Drosophila melanogaster: one gene and its partners. The protein of the gene in region 3 purifies or fractionates together with the protein of the main gene of each other region. This does not show direct contact. Each region holds a gene or a part of one and is shown on either strand. Other genes may lie near its edges.

Evidence for each region.
Region 1: the proteins of Rnp4F (region 3) and CG9344 purify together in Drosophila melanogaster (affinity purification with mass spectrometry, with the first as the bait; one large-scale study listed by BioGRID). This does not show direct contact.
Region 2: the proteins of Rnp4F (region 3) and CG17768 purify together in Drosophila melanogaster (affinity purification with mass spectrometry, with the first as the bait; one large-scale study listed by BioGRID). This does not show direct contact.

What each region holds. Positions count from the first base shown.
Region 1 is NT_033778.4:20,974,725-20,978,760, reverse strand, and holds CG9344 (uncharacterized protein), read right to left. Parts: upstream 1,706-4,036; 5' UTR 1,607-1,705; coding exon 1,516-1,606; intron 1,445-1,515; coding exon 1,296-1,444; 3' UTR 1,161-1,295; downstream 1-1,160. Other genes in the region: CG15650 (uncharacterized protein), read left to right, coding at 524-562, 635-1,033; CG34115 (uncharacterized protein), read right to left, coding at 1,905-2,022, 2,081-2,166, 3,138-3,167.
Region 2 is NT_033779.5:10,402,194-10,407,783, forward strand, and holds CG17768 (uncharacterized protein), read right to left. Parts: upstream 3,011-5,590; 5' UTR 2,944-3,010; coding exon of another isoform or gene 2,636-2,943; intron 2,562-2,635; coding exon of another isoform or gene 2,418-2,561; intron 2,358-2,417; coding exon of another isoform or gene 2,192-2,357; 5' UTR 1,803-2,191; coding exon 1,800-1,802; intron 1,740-1,799; coding exon 1,698-1,739; intron 1,636-1,697; coding exon 1,537-1,635; intron 1,364-1,536; coding exon 1,043-1,363; 3' UTR 1,004-1,042; downstream 1-1,003. Other genes in the region: Cnot4 (CCR4-NOT transcription complex subunit 4), read left to right, coding at 1-140, 214-369, 438-577; LSm-4 (uncharacterized protein), read right to left, coding at 2,192-2,357, 2,418-2,561, 2,636-2,943; Ir31a (ionotropic receptor 31a), read left to right, coding at 3,559-3,706, 3,760-4,244, 4,306-5,109, 5,171-5,457.
Region 3 is NC_004354.4:5,317,640-5,324,856, forward strand, and holds Rnp4F (RNA-binding protein 4F), read right to left. Parts: upstream 5,058-7,217; 5' UTR 4,992-5,057; exon of another isoform or gene 4,911-4,991; 5' UTR 4,769-4,910; coding exon 4,751-4,768; intron 4,689-4,750; coding exon 4,180-4,688; intron 4,099-4,179; coding exon 3,923-4,098; intron 3,865-3,922; coding exon 2,920-3,864; intron 2,866-2,919; coding exon 2,359-2,865; intron 2,295-2,358; coding exon 2,174-2,294; intron 2,118-2,173; coding exon 2,015-2,117; intron 1,944-2,014; coding exon 1,497-1,943; 3' UTR 1,289-1,496; downstream 1-1,288. Other genes in the region: Sas10 (something about silencing 10), read left to right, coding at 1-1,151; Mcm3 (minichromosome maintenance 3), read left to right, coding at 6,358-7,217. UniProt on the Drosophila melanogaster protein: May be involved in gene regulation during development. Binds RNA.

The DNA of each region.
Region 1 (4,036 bases), on a different chromosome or scaffold from region 3:
TGCACTAAATGTTTCACTAATTTATCAGCTAATCACCTTACGAGTTTCGATTTGCATACATAAATTATGGAAACAGATGCTCCACATGCAGCTGGATGCACCGATCTTGGTTCGCCTTAAACAAAGCAGCCTCATTAAGATCCAGCGATTGTAATCAATCCAATGGTCGCCATGGAGTAATGAAGTAGCGGTGGTCATGTGAATTGATCCGCTGTGGTGACGAGCGCTTTGATTGGAACGCCTCTGGATGCGACATGCATACCAATTAGTGGCGAGTGTTACATTTGGCTGGGCTCTGGTGGACACCGCGTCGGGCGGAATTGGGCAATGCGAATCGGCGGCAATGGGATATTGCAACATAGTACAAGACCTGGGACCGATTGCAAATCGCTGGGCAGTCGGACATGGGAGGCAGCGCCATCGATGGGCCTGCAGTTGGCCGAATTTATTCAAATCAGTTGGATTCCGCGTGGGGTAGCGTATAGGTGTCGTCGTCTGCTTGGTGATCTTGGTGTCAATTGCAATGTGCAAATACGTATTAATTGCTGCACTGGCCGTAATGGTAAGTGGTCAATTAAAGCAACCATCCAGCCACCATAATCAGCCCATTAACATTGCCCTTGGCTGAACACAGTGCTCCTCGGTGCGAGTCCAAGCCACGCTGCACGATCTGCCCGGGGTCTTTGACTTCTCCAATGTGGATCTGGTGAACTTCCAGTACTTCAAGAACCTGGCATCGCAGGATCCGCGCACCGCCGCCACCGCCAATCCACTGCTGGTGCATTTTCAGAAGAAGAAGGCGGTGCTGGACTATCTGGACCGCCTGTTCTTCGGCAACTCTCCGTTCCAGCAGCCCAGCGAGATCCCCTTCGATCCGCATTTCGGTCGCTCCTGGCGTCCGGTCTACGAGCGAAAGTTTGGCTATCGCGGAGAGCGCCTAATCGCTGCCCTGGGATCGGGGTATTCGGTGCCACAACTGCGCCACTTTGGCGCCATTCCCCGCGAGTATGGCACACCGCACTATCCCAGTTGAGTGGGGATTGCAATTTAGCGCCTCTAGATAGTGTATTTATGGAATAAACTTAAGAAACGAAGCAACGAGGTCTAATGTATCGGGGGTATATCAAGAACTACTGGAATTGGTTTGTATACAGGATGATGAGAAGTTGGTTCAGCTTTAATATTGAAGTATGAAACACTTGTGTTGTCGCAGGTTCCCTCTGAAGGAAACAGAGGAATCAGAGTTCTCTAACTACGAACTTCATGGTGCCATGCCAGTTGAGACCCTCCTGTATTCAGACCCTCCGCTTCTGCGTGGAAATGTAGAGGACATTGTTGCCGCGGATGAAGGCGTCGCCGTACTTGTTCTTCAGCTGCCCATTCACGTACTCCTCCGTCTGCTCCAGGCAGATGTTCATGTAGCCATCCAGACAGGCCAGCACACCTGGAATTTGGTCAGTGGATTGGGAAAATTGTCAAATGTGATGAGTGTGTTTGGGAACTCATTGAACGCACCTCGATAGTCAACGCCGTTGTTCAGCTTTACGGCGACGGGGCGTCCGTGTATCTGATTGATGAACTGCGACAGGGCCTCTTTGCGGGACATTTTCAATAGATGATTTCAAAATAAATGCAGTTTACAAAACCTTTTGGCAGCAATAATAAATAACAAATGTGAATACAGTTGTTATTTTATGCCGGCAATGCTGCGGTCACACTGCAGGTTTGGTAAGGTTGCAACACAACATTTCGATGTGACCATTGCATTCGCTTCACCAAGAGCGCCATCTATTGTTCAAGTTGAGAGGAATTCAAAAACACTTTTTGGGGTAATAAAGAAAGTTTAATTTAAATAATAGAATACATAAATTACGGACTACATTGCATCTAATCGATATTTAGGACTAGTGAATGCCCTCCAAGGGCGTGTAGGTCTTGTATTGGTACAATTCCGGTCCGCCGTAGCCGTAGAGAAGTTTTCCGCGCCCGTGTTCATCGTAGTAGGGATAACGGTACTTGGGCCTGAAATATATTGTTATATAAATTCAATTTAATATAGTTTAAATTGACAATTGCATACCTTTCGAAGTACTGGAAGTTCGGTGCTTTTGGCTGCACTGTAGCAAAAGTTGTGTGCGCCACAAAGGCCACAATAAACAAAATTAGCTGGAAAGTAAAGAAAGTGGTTAATAAACATTAAATATTGGTTTGTTAAAAAGTCAATTGGGTAAAGTTAAAAATTCAATTTTTGTCATTTTTCTAAGCTCCATCTATTGGCGTGAAATTAATATTAGAAATAGTTCTCATAATGTTAGGATTCAAACTTATCGTAATTTATTTGAGTAAATTTATTTGAAGTTAAGAAGTAAATTATTATTATTAACCAAATGATTTAAAAATTTTAGATATCCAATCTAATTTTATTACGATTGCAGCAATTAAAAGCAGGGTCGTGCTGTAAGTAAAAGTACGATTTTAATTCGTTTTCTAACAAAAAACCACATCTATGTGAAAGCTAATTGAATTGGCTAAACTAGATTTAGGGGGAAGTTAGATATCACATTTATGCTCAATGGCTCACTGTGTCAGCTGCACGAAAGTGGTAATAAATGCGAGTGCGACGACGGCCAAGAAATCGCTTTCAGGCTTTTGAGTCAACTTGAAAGCAACGGTTTGTTGACGCCGGTTATGCAATTACACCAACAATAAAAGCCACGATGCGCAACTTGGCCACAACTCGTTGCCCGGAGATTATGACACATTTCGCTTGGCGTTCAATTTGGCCAAAAGAGAGCGCGGAAGAGAGCCAGATCGTGTCATTCAAGGTCTCCCCATTCCCATGGCCAGAGAGAGCCTTCGAATTTGGCCCACATATGATTCGAAAATGTGTCAATTGTCTGGCCGCCAAAAAGGAGAAACGAAAAAACTAAAAACAAATGGATTTTGAAAGAAGAACTGACGCGGGCTCATTGGAAATTCAAGTCACTATTTCCGAGCAATGCAGACGGTTTTCTTTTTGGGTGCGACTTTCGCGCAGAAAAGGCGGAAATTGTGTCAGTGGACTTGTGGGCTCCCCCCACAAGGTGTTAATTTGGCAGGTACACTCTAGAAACCAAATTTAACTATCTGAAACTTACGGGCAGCAGCAGGGCACTCAATTTAGCCATGGTTTTTTCGGATATTGTAGTGCTCAATCACTGGTGTAACGGTAAAGCTAAAGCTGCGAGCGAGCGGTACGAGGTTGTTAGCCGATCGCGTTTTGTTTGGCAACTGAATTGCATTGCCAGGCGAGCTACCAAAAGCCGCGCTCCACAAAGAGCGCGAAAAAAGCTTGGAAGAGAGCGGGAGCTTCCAAGCTTGGCTTAAAAAGTTGGGCTAAGACTTAATTAGCTATCTCTTATGATATTTGAAATGCAAGTTAAAGAAGTGCTATAACCAAGAATTTGCAAATTGAAAGATGACAAACTTAAACTAATAAATTTCCGATTATAAGAAGATACAAGATACTATACTTAGTCAAATGTAGAAGGTAAGTTATCAATAGGCATAGTTAATATTAAATATTACCATTTCAAGATTCAAAGATTCTCAATTTCAGTAAGAACAACATCATCAATCGATAGTTTTCACTTCTTTACTTAATCTAATGAGTCTGAAGATTTTGCAACTCATGGGGAAAGTGAAAGTCCTGAGTAAACAAAGCCTTAGCGCCAAATTTGCATAAATTAAGCCTGCCGGAACTATGTGTTTATAAACAAAAACTCTGGCTTTTAAAAGCCACCTGAGCCGACGCACGTAGGCTCTTTATTTCGGTTTGGGATTCCAAAAAAGAGACATACCAACTTTCGAAGAGCGTGGAAAAGAGTGGAAAAACAGCTGTTGAAGTGGGCAAAAATGGAATTGGGGCCAGATTACCAAAGTGGTTGTGGCCCGACTGGATGACCACCTCCGATCGAGATGACGATGGACCCATTATGTAACTTCTGCAGCCATAAAGAGTCATGCTTCGCCGGAGACAAAAAAAAAGAAGGAAAAT
Region 2 (5,590 bases), on a different chromosome or scaffold from region 3:
TGGGGTGGGCAACAGCGGTGCCCAGGGACAGCACCAAATGCCAATGGGTGTCAACTGGAATGCGCCGATGGGCATGCACCAGAACCCGGGACAGCCCGTGGGTGATTCGCAATTGCAGCATCCAATGGCTCACAACAAGGGTAAGTAATTGAAATGATTACATTTTTTGGTACCGAGAAAACTGTTTAATCAAATTATTTGGATTCGCAACAGTTTACAACAACAGTGATTGGACTTCAATGGATCCGGCTATACTTTCGTTTAGACAGTATTCTTCTTTTCCACAAAACCAAATTCCCCCACATCCTCAGCAGCAACAGGATTTATTTTTGCAGCATTTGGCTCAACAGCAAAATTCCCAGAGTGGTGGTAAGTGGGGCAACCAAGAGTTTACATATCAACAGTCGATTAAAATGCATCGGATTGTGTACTTGCAGGTTTCAACAACCAGGCACAGCAAATGCTTCCTATGGGGATGCCCAATAGTTTGCTGAACGGACAACAAACGCAGCCGCCACAGGTCAATGCCAATGTTCAGGGCATGCTTGAGTTTTTAAAAAGCCGTCAATTCGTTTAGCTACAATACATATAAATAATACATTTGTTTACCTGTACTCTTTATTAAATATTTCTTAAAGTAAATATAGGCAAAATAAAATTCGAATATAATGAAACTACATGATACAAACAAACAGACGGTCCAGTGAAATTCAGCCTACTAAAAGCATTTGTGCAGCAAGCGAAACACTTGGATGCCGTCTCCCCGCGCCGGACGTGTCCGCATGAATCCAATTATAGTATCCAATAAACCCCGTTCAGGGTGTAGTCTGCTTGGCAATAGTGAAGCCCCCAGTGATTTTTCAAACTTGAAACCAACTCATTCCAATTGCTCGCTGGATAAAAGACAGATTACCATGGCAATAAGTAGCAAAGAAAACCTCGTGATGTGAAATTATCGAGACTGTGTAAAAATGTCAACTTTTTAATAATAAATACGTGACTTGAAATGGTTGAAAAGAATTTATTACTACGATCCGAAGAACTATTTCCTATTTTTGGCGGCGTGGGGCAGACGGTTCCCTTGGCCAGCAGCGCCACCCAGGCGCATCGCGTTGTTAGCAGCACCTCCGTATCCCTGGCCGGGACGATTGCCGACATTGTTGCGGTTGCCGCCACCAGGACGTCCGCCGCGCTGATTTTGCGACGAGTTGCCGCCGCGGTTTTTGTTCATCTCTGTGCGATTCCTTGACTTGGCCTGCGCGTCCTCCTTGACCATGTCGATTACTTCGTCGGGGATTCGCAGATATTTGATGGTGCTCCCGCGGATATAACATTCGGGCATGCGCCAAAACCGATCGCCATCCTGCAAAGTACACATACACATATTGGTATAAACAAGCTCTTCATGTTATCATTTTTCCGGCTGTTTACAAATCAATGCGATTGTATTTATGTATATACCAGTTGTCGCATATTTTGCACACCGGCAATCTACATATTAATTACATATACATACATATTTAATTAAAATATTACCTTTGAGGTGCAAATAACATCGCGCAGATTAATATTCATCCACGAGTCGCAACTAACCAGGTGACCATTGTATGTTTCACCATTTTTCAGCTCCACCAACTAAGTGAATTAGATTAAACAATTATGTGTATGACTAATGTGTGCAAATCCAAACATCTTACCATGGGATGGCTCTGTGCTGTTTTTAAAAGTGAAAGTGGCAGCTAAAACACATGAAAATTAATCATTTTTCTCTTTATTTACCATAAAATAATATTGCTTACCATTTTCGTGAAGTAATCGATTAATACAGCGATAACATGAAATCGGAAGAGATGTCAATCACTTTGTTGGAACGAAATGAATATGAAACACATGCTTATAAAGATAGCGTGTTCTGTTTTTTTTTGATTTCTTATAACATAATTTTAAATGGTAACCAAGAGAGAATGCTATAGTAGACTTCCCCGACTGTCAGATACCCGTTACTCAGCTAGTGTAAATTTCATCCTTTTTCTGGGATAATAATAGGGAGAAAAGATTTTAAAATTGTTTTGAAAGTGTGGGCGTGACCGCCTTGGCGGCTTTAAGGCGCTAGATTGAGTATGGCAAAAAGGACAGTCGGCGGGACAGTCGGATTAAATACTTCACCAAATGGATAAAAAAAACATGTAACTTATTTTAAAGCCAACCGGCTTTGCAATGACTGCAATTCATTTAGTAAGAGAGCAATATTATAGCGCACTTGTTGAAACATGGACAGTGGCAATTCTAAAGTTCGATATTCCTTATTTTGGAGCTTGAAGTGGAGGACTATTGTAGGTTTATCAATTTGCACGGTACTAGAAAATAAATTAGTAAAGTGAAGTAAAAATAAAATAGCGGTAAGGTTAAATACTTACTTTAATGATAAGGAAATGTTGATTCTCCATTGCAACTTTGACATTTTGACACGGTCCATTTTAGTATCTGAAAAGTTCTTGCTCAGTACGTCTCGATGGTTAAGCAAAACTTTGCAGATATCTTCAACATATTCTTCTGTTAAACTATTGACGAGATAAATAACAATTATGTTAGTGACGGTCAAGTTTTCCAAGTACGTATGCATTTGAATACTTACTTTAAATCGTCCATTAAACATTTTCGCAGCTCATGATGCTTCACCACGCCCTTGGGATATCTTAAAAAGATTTGCATTGTCAAGAAAACCATTGTAAAAAGTTCACAAAAGTTCGGAGGGATTTCGTGACCTCCATTTGTTAGTTTATTTAGTGCCAGGGAAAGCACTTCCGACGAAGACTTCTTTGATTCAATGTAGTGCACAGACACTTGAATAAGGACACGCAACATAGACTTAGTCAATTGCGGAGTGAATGAAGTGTATGGCTTTACACTCCTTAATAGATTATATCTAAACGTAGACGACATATTGCATACTCATAAATTTTGTACAAAAACATAAACAAACTAGAAATGCTACGTCTTCGATATGAGTTATTTTGATATTCGATGCTCACAATCGATATTAATCGTACTGTTTTTTTGTTTTTAATTAACAGAAATGGATTATTTGCATAAATTAAATTAAAAAGAAAAAAACTCTAGCTATGATTTTTGATATTAGCCTTAATAAAATAAGAAACTAAACATGTTATTTTGGCGTTTTAAAATTTACTGCAATTAGGTTACCCGTTTTGGTAAAGATTTTCAATAATTCGGTTGTTTATTAAAGAAATATTTACATATGTTATTACCCACTTGAATTTTGTTTAAATTACTACTAACTGGTTTAGTTTTGCCATAAGTGTTGGGAGAAGTTTACTTTCTCATTAAAAATTTATGATCCAATTTTACCTGTCAATCAAAGCTACACTTTAAATCAATTAAATTATTTCTGATTAGAGGGTATAGAAGCTGCATAGTAAATTATGAACCAATTGAAATTAGAATGGGTAATTAGCACCTGCAATTCATGCTGTCAATCAAACAGAAGACCTTACTATAAAATGGCACAACATTCCCAGCAGGATAAACAATAGTAAAATGAATCTCTTAATCAGTATGTTTATTTTAATACTAGCTGCAGGCGAGGGTGAAATAATTCCGAGTATGGAAGAATCCGTTGTAACTAATTTCGTTAAAAGTCTAGTAAAAACCAAGCAAGCAATAGTGTTTTCGTGTTTATTTAAAGGTAAGCAATGTGCTAAGTTACAATAAAGGTATTCATAATATATTTATTGATAGATTTTAAAGAAATCTCTCTTGCATTGATGCGAATTAATCAATTTGTGAGCGTAGTTAACCTTAACCAAAGTTATTCACTAACATCGATATTGACTCGGGAAAATTACGCTCGAACTTCTGTGATGGTAAATGCCAGATGCAGTGGATCATCTGAACTTCTTTTTGAAGCCTCTGAAAATAGGTATTTCAACAAAACCTATCAGTGGTTTCTCTGGGGTGTTGATCTCGAGGTTCAATCCCTATTTCCTTTAAATCTCAACTATGTTGGTCCCAACGCCCAGATAACCTATGTTAATGAAACCGCAGATGGTTATGCGTACTGGGATATTCATTCGAAAGGACGACACTTGAAGTCGAATTTGGAAATAAATTTAATAGCAACATTGATAAACGATACATTGAATATAGCTCGCGATATTTTCCATTTGCAAAGTATTGATTTTCGCGGACAATTTAATGGATTAACTCTAAGAGGAGCAAGTGTTGTAAGTAATGAATAAGTACTATAACTCATTAGATTTTAGCCATTTCAATTATGGATACTAGATCGACAAGGAGGATATAATCTCAAATGAACAAATTGAATCAATACTTTCGCGACCAACTAAGGATGCTGGAGTGGCTGCATTCATAAAGTATCACTACGAGCTTCTGGGACTTCTGAGAGAACGTTTCAATTTCACTGTTAACTTCCGAAATTCTAGAGGATGGGCTGGACGTTTGGGCAATACTACCTTTCGACTTGGACTCTTGGGAATAGTTATGCGAAATGAGGCAGATATAGCCGCATCCGGTGCCTTCAATCGAATTAATCGCTTTGCTGAGTTTGATACCATACACCAAAGTTGGAAATTTGAGACAGCTTTTCTATACCGCTACACTTCCGATTTGGATACTCATGGAAAAAGTGGTAACTTTCTGTCGCCATTCAGCGACAGAGTTTGGTTGTTCTGTCTATTAACCCTTGGTGCTTTTAGCATCATTTGGGTGCTATTTGAAATTATCGACTACAAGATATTGCGTATACGAGTTAATAGTCAAAAGCTGGAACATTTAAATCAGAAAAGTTCGGTGATTTGCATTAAGACCACATGCATTGAACGAATTTTACAGACATTTGGAGCCTGCTGCCAACAGGGATTGGACCCAAATCCTGTAGATCGTTCAGTGCGCTTTTTGGTAATGACACTGTTCCTATTCTCCCTGGTTATGTACAACTATTATACGTCTTCCGTCGTGGGCGGATTGCTTAGTTCTTCAGATCAGGGTCCCTCTACAGTCGACGAAATAACTGCAAGCCCCTTGAAAATATCATTCGAAGACATTGGTTACTACAAAGTCTTATTCCGAGTAAGTTCGTTGAAAACATTATATGTATATTTATATTACCATTACTCGATTTACTTAACAGGAGAGTCAAAATCGATCTATTACAAGATTAATAGAGAAAAAGCTGTCTTCGTCAAGAAGTTTAAATGAATTGCCAATTTTTAGCCATATTGAGGATGCTGTCCCATATCTCAAAGCCGGCGGATTTGCTTTTCATTGCGAAGTGGTGGACGCTTATCCGGTGATTTCAGAATATTTTGATGCCAACGAGATCTGTGATCTGCGTGAAGTCTCCGGTCTGATGGAGGTCGAAATTTTGAATTGGATTTTACACAAGAACAGCCAGTATACCGAGATTTTCAAAACAGCGTAAGTATTGAGTCATTCGCATGGTTTTGGTTTGATTCTGTCTTTGCTTAACTGGCCAAAAAGAACTGTTTTTTTTTAACCCGGTCTTATTCCACATCAGTATATTTCCCAAACATTCCTTGGGAAGTAAGAT
Region 3 (7,217 bases):
GTGATGATGACGACGACGACGACGACGACGACGAGGAGGAGCAGCAGGATGTGGCGGAACTGATGCGCGACAGTGACATCGAGGGCGCCGAAGACGATGACCGCGATCTGCCCAACACCATGGACTGGGGCAGCAAACGGAGCACGTACTACAACACCGACTTTGTGGACCAGGACTACAGCAGCTACAATGCCCAGGAGGAGGAGCAGGCACGCGCCGAGGAGGAGGAGGCCAAAAAGATCCAGCTGCGTCTGGCCAAGCGCATGAGCGAGGCCGATTTCCAGCTGGACAATGTAGAAGCAGCGCCCGCAGGCAGCAGTGATGACAACGAGCTGAGCCATATAACCAAAGTGACCAGCGATCTGGCCGGCCTATCAGAACGCGAGCGACGACAGCTGATGCACAGTGAGTCGCCGGAGTTCATCATTCTCACCCAGGATTTTCAACAGCATCTCGACGAGGTGAAGAACCTATTGAAACCGGTGCTCAACTACGTTCGCAAACACGATGTGCCCATGGTGCCGGCGCTGCAATATGCCGGACTCTGCCACACCGTGCTCACCACCTACTGCTCCAATGTGGCTTTCTATCTGCTGCTCAAGGCACGTCGCATCGACGTCAAGGCCCATCCGGTGATTAGGCGGCTGGTGCAACTCAAGGATCTGATCGAGGAGCTTAAGCCGCGCTACGAGGAATACATTCGACCGCAGCTGGAGGCGCTGCTGGAGAGGATTGAAGATGGCGATGCATTCACCGTGCTGGATGTGGCACAGCGCAAGGCTAAGCTGCAGATACTCAACAAGTACAACGATGGCCAGCAGGCGTCAGTGAGCTCCGATGATGATGATAATGATGACGATGACGATGCTGAGAGTAAGGAGAAGGATCTGCAAGAGGAGGCTGGTGAGGAGGAGGAAGAGGAGGATGCGCGACGCGGCATCACCTATCAGATGGCCAAGAACAAGGGCCTCACGCCGCACCGCAAAAAGGAGCTGCGCAATCCGCGCGTTAAGCATCGCGGCAAATACCGAAAGGCGCTCATCCGGCGCAAGGGAGCCGTGCGCACGGTGCGCAAGGAGCTGCAGCGCTACGGCGGCGAATTGTCCGGCATCAAGGCCGGCGTCACGAAGAGCGTCAAGTTCCGCACCTAGTTTTTATCCAATAAATCCGCCAAGATCATTACATTTTAATCAACTCGATGTTTGTACACTTGAAACACCCATTTCATCCAAAGACTCACCGGGGATTAGTCAACTAGCTGTCATATGCGAAACAAACAAACATTTTTCTTCACTTGGTTCATCAAGAAACCAATTTATATGAGTCGAAACAAAAATCATTGTCTTACAACAGTTTTTCTCTTTGTACAGTGTTCTCCAACCTTGTCTGTTTAGGTTGCCTTAAATCTAAAAAAATATATGCTCCAAATCTTCGTCTTCGTCTTACAAACTAAACCATGGCCGCTGGCACCGGGCTCAGCCGCCGGCATTTGTCGCCTAATCCTTGAGAAATAGCTTGCGAAAGTCATCGTTTGACTTGGGCACAGCAGCTGGCATCTCCTCTTCTTTTTTCTCATCTCCCTTTTGCTCCACTCCACTTTGCTCCTCTCCTATTTGATCATCTCCTTTTTGCTCCTCTCCTTTTGGCTCCTCTCCTTTTTGCTCCTCTCCTTTTTGCTCCTCTCCTTTTTGCTCATCTCGTTCTTGAACATCTCCTTTTTGCTCCTCTCCATTAGCCTCGCGCTTGATGGCCACGTCGACGGATGCCGAAGTGGATGATATGTCCCCCGGCTCGGGCAGAAGCAAGCGCAGCTTCTTGGCAGCCACCTCTTGGCGCACCAGAGTCGTGGGTATAAGCGAGGTGGGCACACGTCGCTTGGGCGCCACACTTGGCTTGACAGCTGATGTGCCCCTCGGCGGTGGGTTTGAAATGGCCACAGAGATCTGAAAGAGTTGTGAAATGCATTTGCTTTGGTTGGTTCGGTTAAACATGAAGGCACACATCATTCGCTTACATTCATGCCCTTGAATAGACAACCATCTCGTCCAGCCACTGCTCGTTGCGCCTCGCCCGGCTTCTCGAACTCAACGTATGCAATGCCCTTGAACTGCTTGTTTCTGTAGAGGATCAAATAGTTTAAAATCAATAATTGTAATTGTAATCTCGCACTCACAGCTTGTGCACCAGGCGCACATCTTTGATGGTGCCGAAAGGCGAGAAGAGTTCGTGCAGCTCCTCCTTGCTGCAAGCGGGATGCAGATTTCTTACAAAGATCTTATTGATTTCCATGTTGGCTAGAAGAGAGACAACTAATGTAAGTCCTTGAAACGCATGTGTCCAAACGGCATGGCGACTCACGCGAATACTTAAAGTTCGATTCCTTGGCCTCTGCATTCGCTGGCCCCTTGACTTTCGATGGCGGTGACGTAGCTCCACCAGATGGCTCGGTTCTGGACTTCTTAATGCCATGCTTCTGCTGCTGCTGCTGTTGCTGTTGTTGCTCATGCGCCTGGCGACGTCGCTGCTCGCGATTCAGTGGCTCACGATTCGTTTGTTGCTGCTGCTGGCGCGGCTTAAGCTTCTGCTGGCGAGGATAAGCCGACTGTGAGTTGGGCTTAATGCGGGAACGCGGCTTCACATACTCGACAGGCAGATCGAGGGCCTGGCAGGCGGCAATGGACTCGTAGGTGCCATAGCAACGTTCATAGCGGCGAAAAAACTCCTGCACCATAAGGCCATTCTCGAGGACGGGCTGCGAGAGAGCTTTGCGAAGGACATCGCGTGTGCCGTGGCCACCATTGTATTCGCTTTCCATCTGGGCAAAGTTCAGCCAGAGCAGGCCGCGTATCGAGCTGCCCGGATAGCCTAAAGATGAGTAGTTAAAACATTGCTTATGCAATCATATTTCAAAGCGCTCACCCATTATTTGGCGCCAAATCTCACGGCCATTGTCCGGACTCCCCAGTTGCGTGTACTCAACTTGGGCCCACAACTGCAGCACCTCGTACCTGGTGTCCGCCTGGTCGCCGTAGAGCACGGTTAGCTCCTCCCAAGCATGATTGAAGGCGGCACGCAGACTGGCGACCTGCTGCTCATCGCTGGCATTGGTGTTGCGAATACGATAGGCCAGATAGTCCAGATGCAGCTCCACGGTCATATCCATGTCGGTCACAATGCGCTGCAATATGAGACGTATCTCTTCATCCACTTCCGCCAACTCAAAGTCCGAGCGCTCCATTAGGTCGAGGAAACGATGATTCAATTGTACACTGGGATGACTGCGCACACCACGATTGGCCAAATCGAGTTCCGTGTTGCGCAGAAAACCTTTGCCCAAGCGTTTGGCCCGTTTGGCTACCATTTCGGCGGTTACCTCATTCTCATCCTCATTCTCCGGCACAGTGACGCCTTCGAACTGAATGAACTCAATGTAGGATAACCAGAGCACATCGACAATGGGAAACTTGGCCACCGAGCGTTCGAATATGAAACGGATCACAGCGTTTTTGAGGTCATCGTCAAGGGATAATGTCTCCACATCGTAGACATGAGCCTTGTGTTGCTCAGACCAATCCCAACCACGCGTTGTCTCGTCCAGATGTTGCTTAAACTTGTCCACAACGGACTTGATCATCTGCCGCTGCTCCACGTTGCACGTCCAGGTGACGCAGTGCTTTTGCAGCATTTCCACAAAGGCGGCAGCCTCATTTTCGTCCGTAATTGTCGATATCAGCGAACGCAGCTTGTCGCCAAAGTCTGGACGCTCCACGTCGTAGTCCGCCAGCAGTTTGGCCCACAGCACATGGTTCTGTACGTTGCCCTGATCCACCAGGTAGTTGACAACGTATTCGGACAGCGGTATGCCTGCAATATGTAACTCGTCAATTGGTTTAACTACGAATGGATTCTATCTATCGCATACTGTAGTAGTAGCCCAACGCTTTGGCACACTGCTCCTCGAATGCCTTGCGCTCCTCGTCCGTTTGGGTGACGACCAGGCGGGCCTTTAGATACTTCAGCCACACGTGAGCCGGCACAGTGGCCAAATTTTGCAGCTCCAGCACCGATGACTCGATCTTTTCCAGATCATTCAGTTTGCTGCATTAACGAGCATCAACATTAGCTAATGCCGATATTGAAAAAATGGAAAATGGGAGTGGGAGAAGCAGGCAAACTCACAATGCGATTCCAATGAGCGAGACCATTTGGGCAAACTTTTTGCTGGGCAACGCATTCAGCTCCTGATACGAGCGCTCTAGCTGATTTCCGCCGCCAGCGTTGTCGCTATCACTGTCACTGTCACTGGACACCTCACTGTTCGATTCCAATTCCGAGCCTTCGATCACGCCCACATCATCGCTACTGCTGCTGGAATCATTGCGCGCTCTGCCACGGCCAGCGGCATTGCCTCCCTCAGTCTCCTCCACTGACGGCTCGTCGTCCGATGAGATCAACTCAATGGTGGTCATATCCCCGCCGGCGGACGACGGTGGCCAGGTTGGGCGCGATCGTTGGCGCAGCTCCTCCGACTTGTGCTCCTCCTCCTGCTGCGGCGACTCACTGTGCCCCTGCTGCGGCGAGCCCTTGCCCTGATCGGGTATCACGATCAGATCATACTCGTCATACGCATCGTCGTCCAAATCCTCTGCCGGCATCTCGTCCAGCTCCTTCTCCAGCTGCCTTTCCAGCTGCAATATATTGGGCATACGCATAAGGGCGGCGCCTATTGGAGCTATAATCTGACACTCACCTGCTTGTCGGCGTCCATGCTTCAACCGTTTATTTTGGTGGAAAACTTTTCGCTTTCCGTGGAACTGCAATTTTTCCCCCCCAAAAAAAATACAGGAAATAAAAAAACAAAAAAAAAACCGCAAACGCAGGGCTGGCCAATCTAATATCGCGTTGTTGCGCTTATCGTGGAAAATTATTTGGTTTCAGGTTTGGTTTCCCTATTGGGCACTTTTTCTTGGAAAAACTTTCCAAGCACTTACTTTCTGAGAATTCGGTTAACGAAAACTTATCATTTTCTGTCAAGAAACACCGGTAAAGTGTGAATAATATGCGAATTTTTTTTTCGTTATAACAGTGTGACCAGTGCGTAATATCGATAGCTGTGCGCACTCGATAGTTGCGGCAGTCCAGACAATGGCTGTGTTACCAGCAGTGCAGTGAAGACTCGTGATGAGCAATTTGAAGACTAATTTCGGTAATATGTGGTCAATATTAACTGGTTTCTTTGGGCGGTCAGAAATGTATAGCAAAGTCAAATGATAAACTAAATCCTACCAAGAAATATAATTTATTTTAAACATATATATATTTTATAGAAATAAATAAAAATGGAATTTATTTTACTTAAGTGCTATATATATATGTATCATAAAATGTAAACAATTTCTGTTTCTTTTACACAAACTATTTAATAATAATAAACTATTTAATACGCAGCCACATCATAAATGGATTAAGTGTAGACAGTACTCAGGCAAATAATAAAAATATTATACCATTATATGAATGGATTAAGTGTGGACAGTAATTAAGCAAATAATAAATATATTACTATATACTATAATACTATAATAGGAATTGATTAGGTGTAAACAGTAATAAGTCATATAATACATATATTGTATATATTATAGGATATAGTAATAATAATATAATAATAATTAGGCAAATAATAAATACAAATATTATACTATTATAAGAATGGTTTAAGTGTAATAATATTATATATTATATAATAATTAAGCAAATAATAAATATATAATACTATTATAAGAATGGATTAAGTTTAAACAGTAATTAGGCACATAATACATATATTGTATATATTATAGGAATGTATTAAGTGTGGACAGTAATTTAGCAAATAATAAATATATTTTACTATTATAGCAATGGATTAAATGTAGATATTAATTAGGCAGATAATAAATATATACTACTATTATAGGAATTATTTGATAGTTTTCTATATTGTATGCATTACAAATTAAGTCAGATGTTCGGTGGAAACGTTTTAATTATAAATTTGCATATCAACGTATATTTGCTTATATTAGTTAGTTTGCTATGTCCACTATGTTTTATATAATAAAGTTAATAATTATATGTAAATATATAAAAAAAGGAAATAATTATAGCATATATATTTTGCCCGCGCAACCAGTCTTCAAATGCCCACAGTATGGTCACACTACGCTTTTCCCGCGAAAAAACTTTGCATTCGGCGTGCAATTTGCGACATTAGTTTTGTTTGCATTTGCGTTTGCCTCCGAACGGATCGAAGTTGATCCATAAGCGAAATCGAAAGAAGTTTTGTGAACTCCAGTGTACAGCTTAAGTCACAGAATGGCCCACGAGGGGGAGCAGTTCATCAAGGACATACAACGCGAGTATGTGGACTTTCTGGACGACGAGGAGGATCAGGGCATCTATGCGGGCCACGTCAAGGATATGATCGCGGAGAAGAGCAAGCGCCTGATCGTGAATGTCAACGATCTAAAACGCAAGAATCCGCAACGTGCATTGGGGCTACTGAGCAACGCGGCGGATGAGCAGCTGGCCTTTGGCAGGGCGCTCAAGGAGTATGCGTCCACGGTTGATCCGGGCTATGCCAAAATGCATGAGGATCTGTTTGTCGGCTTCGAGGGCTGCTTTGGCAATCGGCATGTGACGCCGCGCTCCCTCACCTCCATCTATCTGGGCAACATGGTGTGCGTGGAGGGCATTGTTACCAAGGTATCGCTGATTCGTCCCAAGGTGGTGCGCAGCGTTCACTATTGCCCCAATACGCGTAAGGTAATGGAGCGCAAATACACCGATCTCACATCGTTCGAGGCTGTGCCATCTGGCGCTGCCTATCCCACAAAGGACGAGGATGGCAATCTGCTGGAGACCGAATACGGTTTGTCCGTTTACAAGGATCACCAGACGCTGACCATTCAAGAGATGCCCGAGAAGGCGCCGGCTGGCCAATTGCCGCGTTCGGTGGATATTGTGTGCGACGACGATCTCGTGGATCGCTGCAAGCCCGGCGATCGTGTACAGATTGTGGGCAGCTATCGCTGTTTGCCGGGCAAACGCGGTGGCTACACCTCGGGCACGTTCCGCACCGTGCTGCTGGCCAACAATATATCGCTGCTCAGCAAGGAGAGCAATTTGGACATATCGCGCGAAGACATCATGCTGTGCAAGAAGCTAGCGAAGAA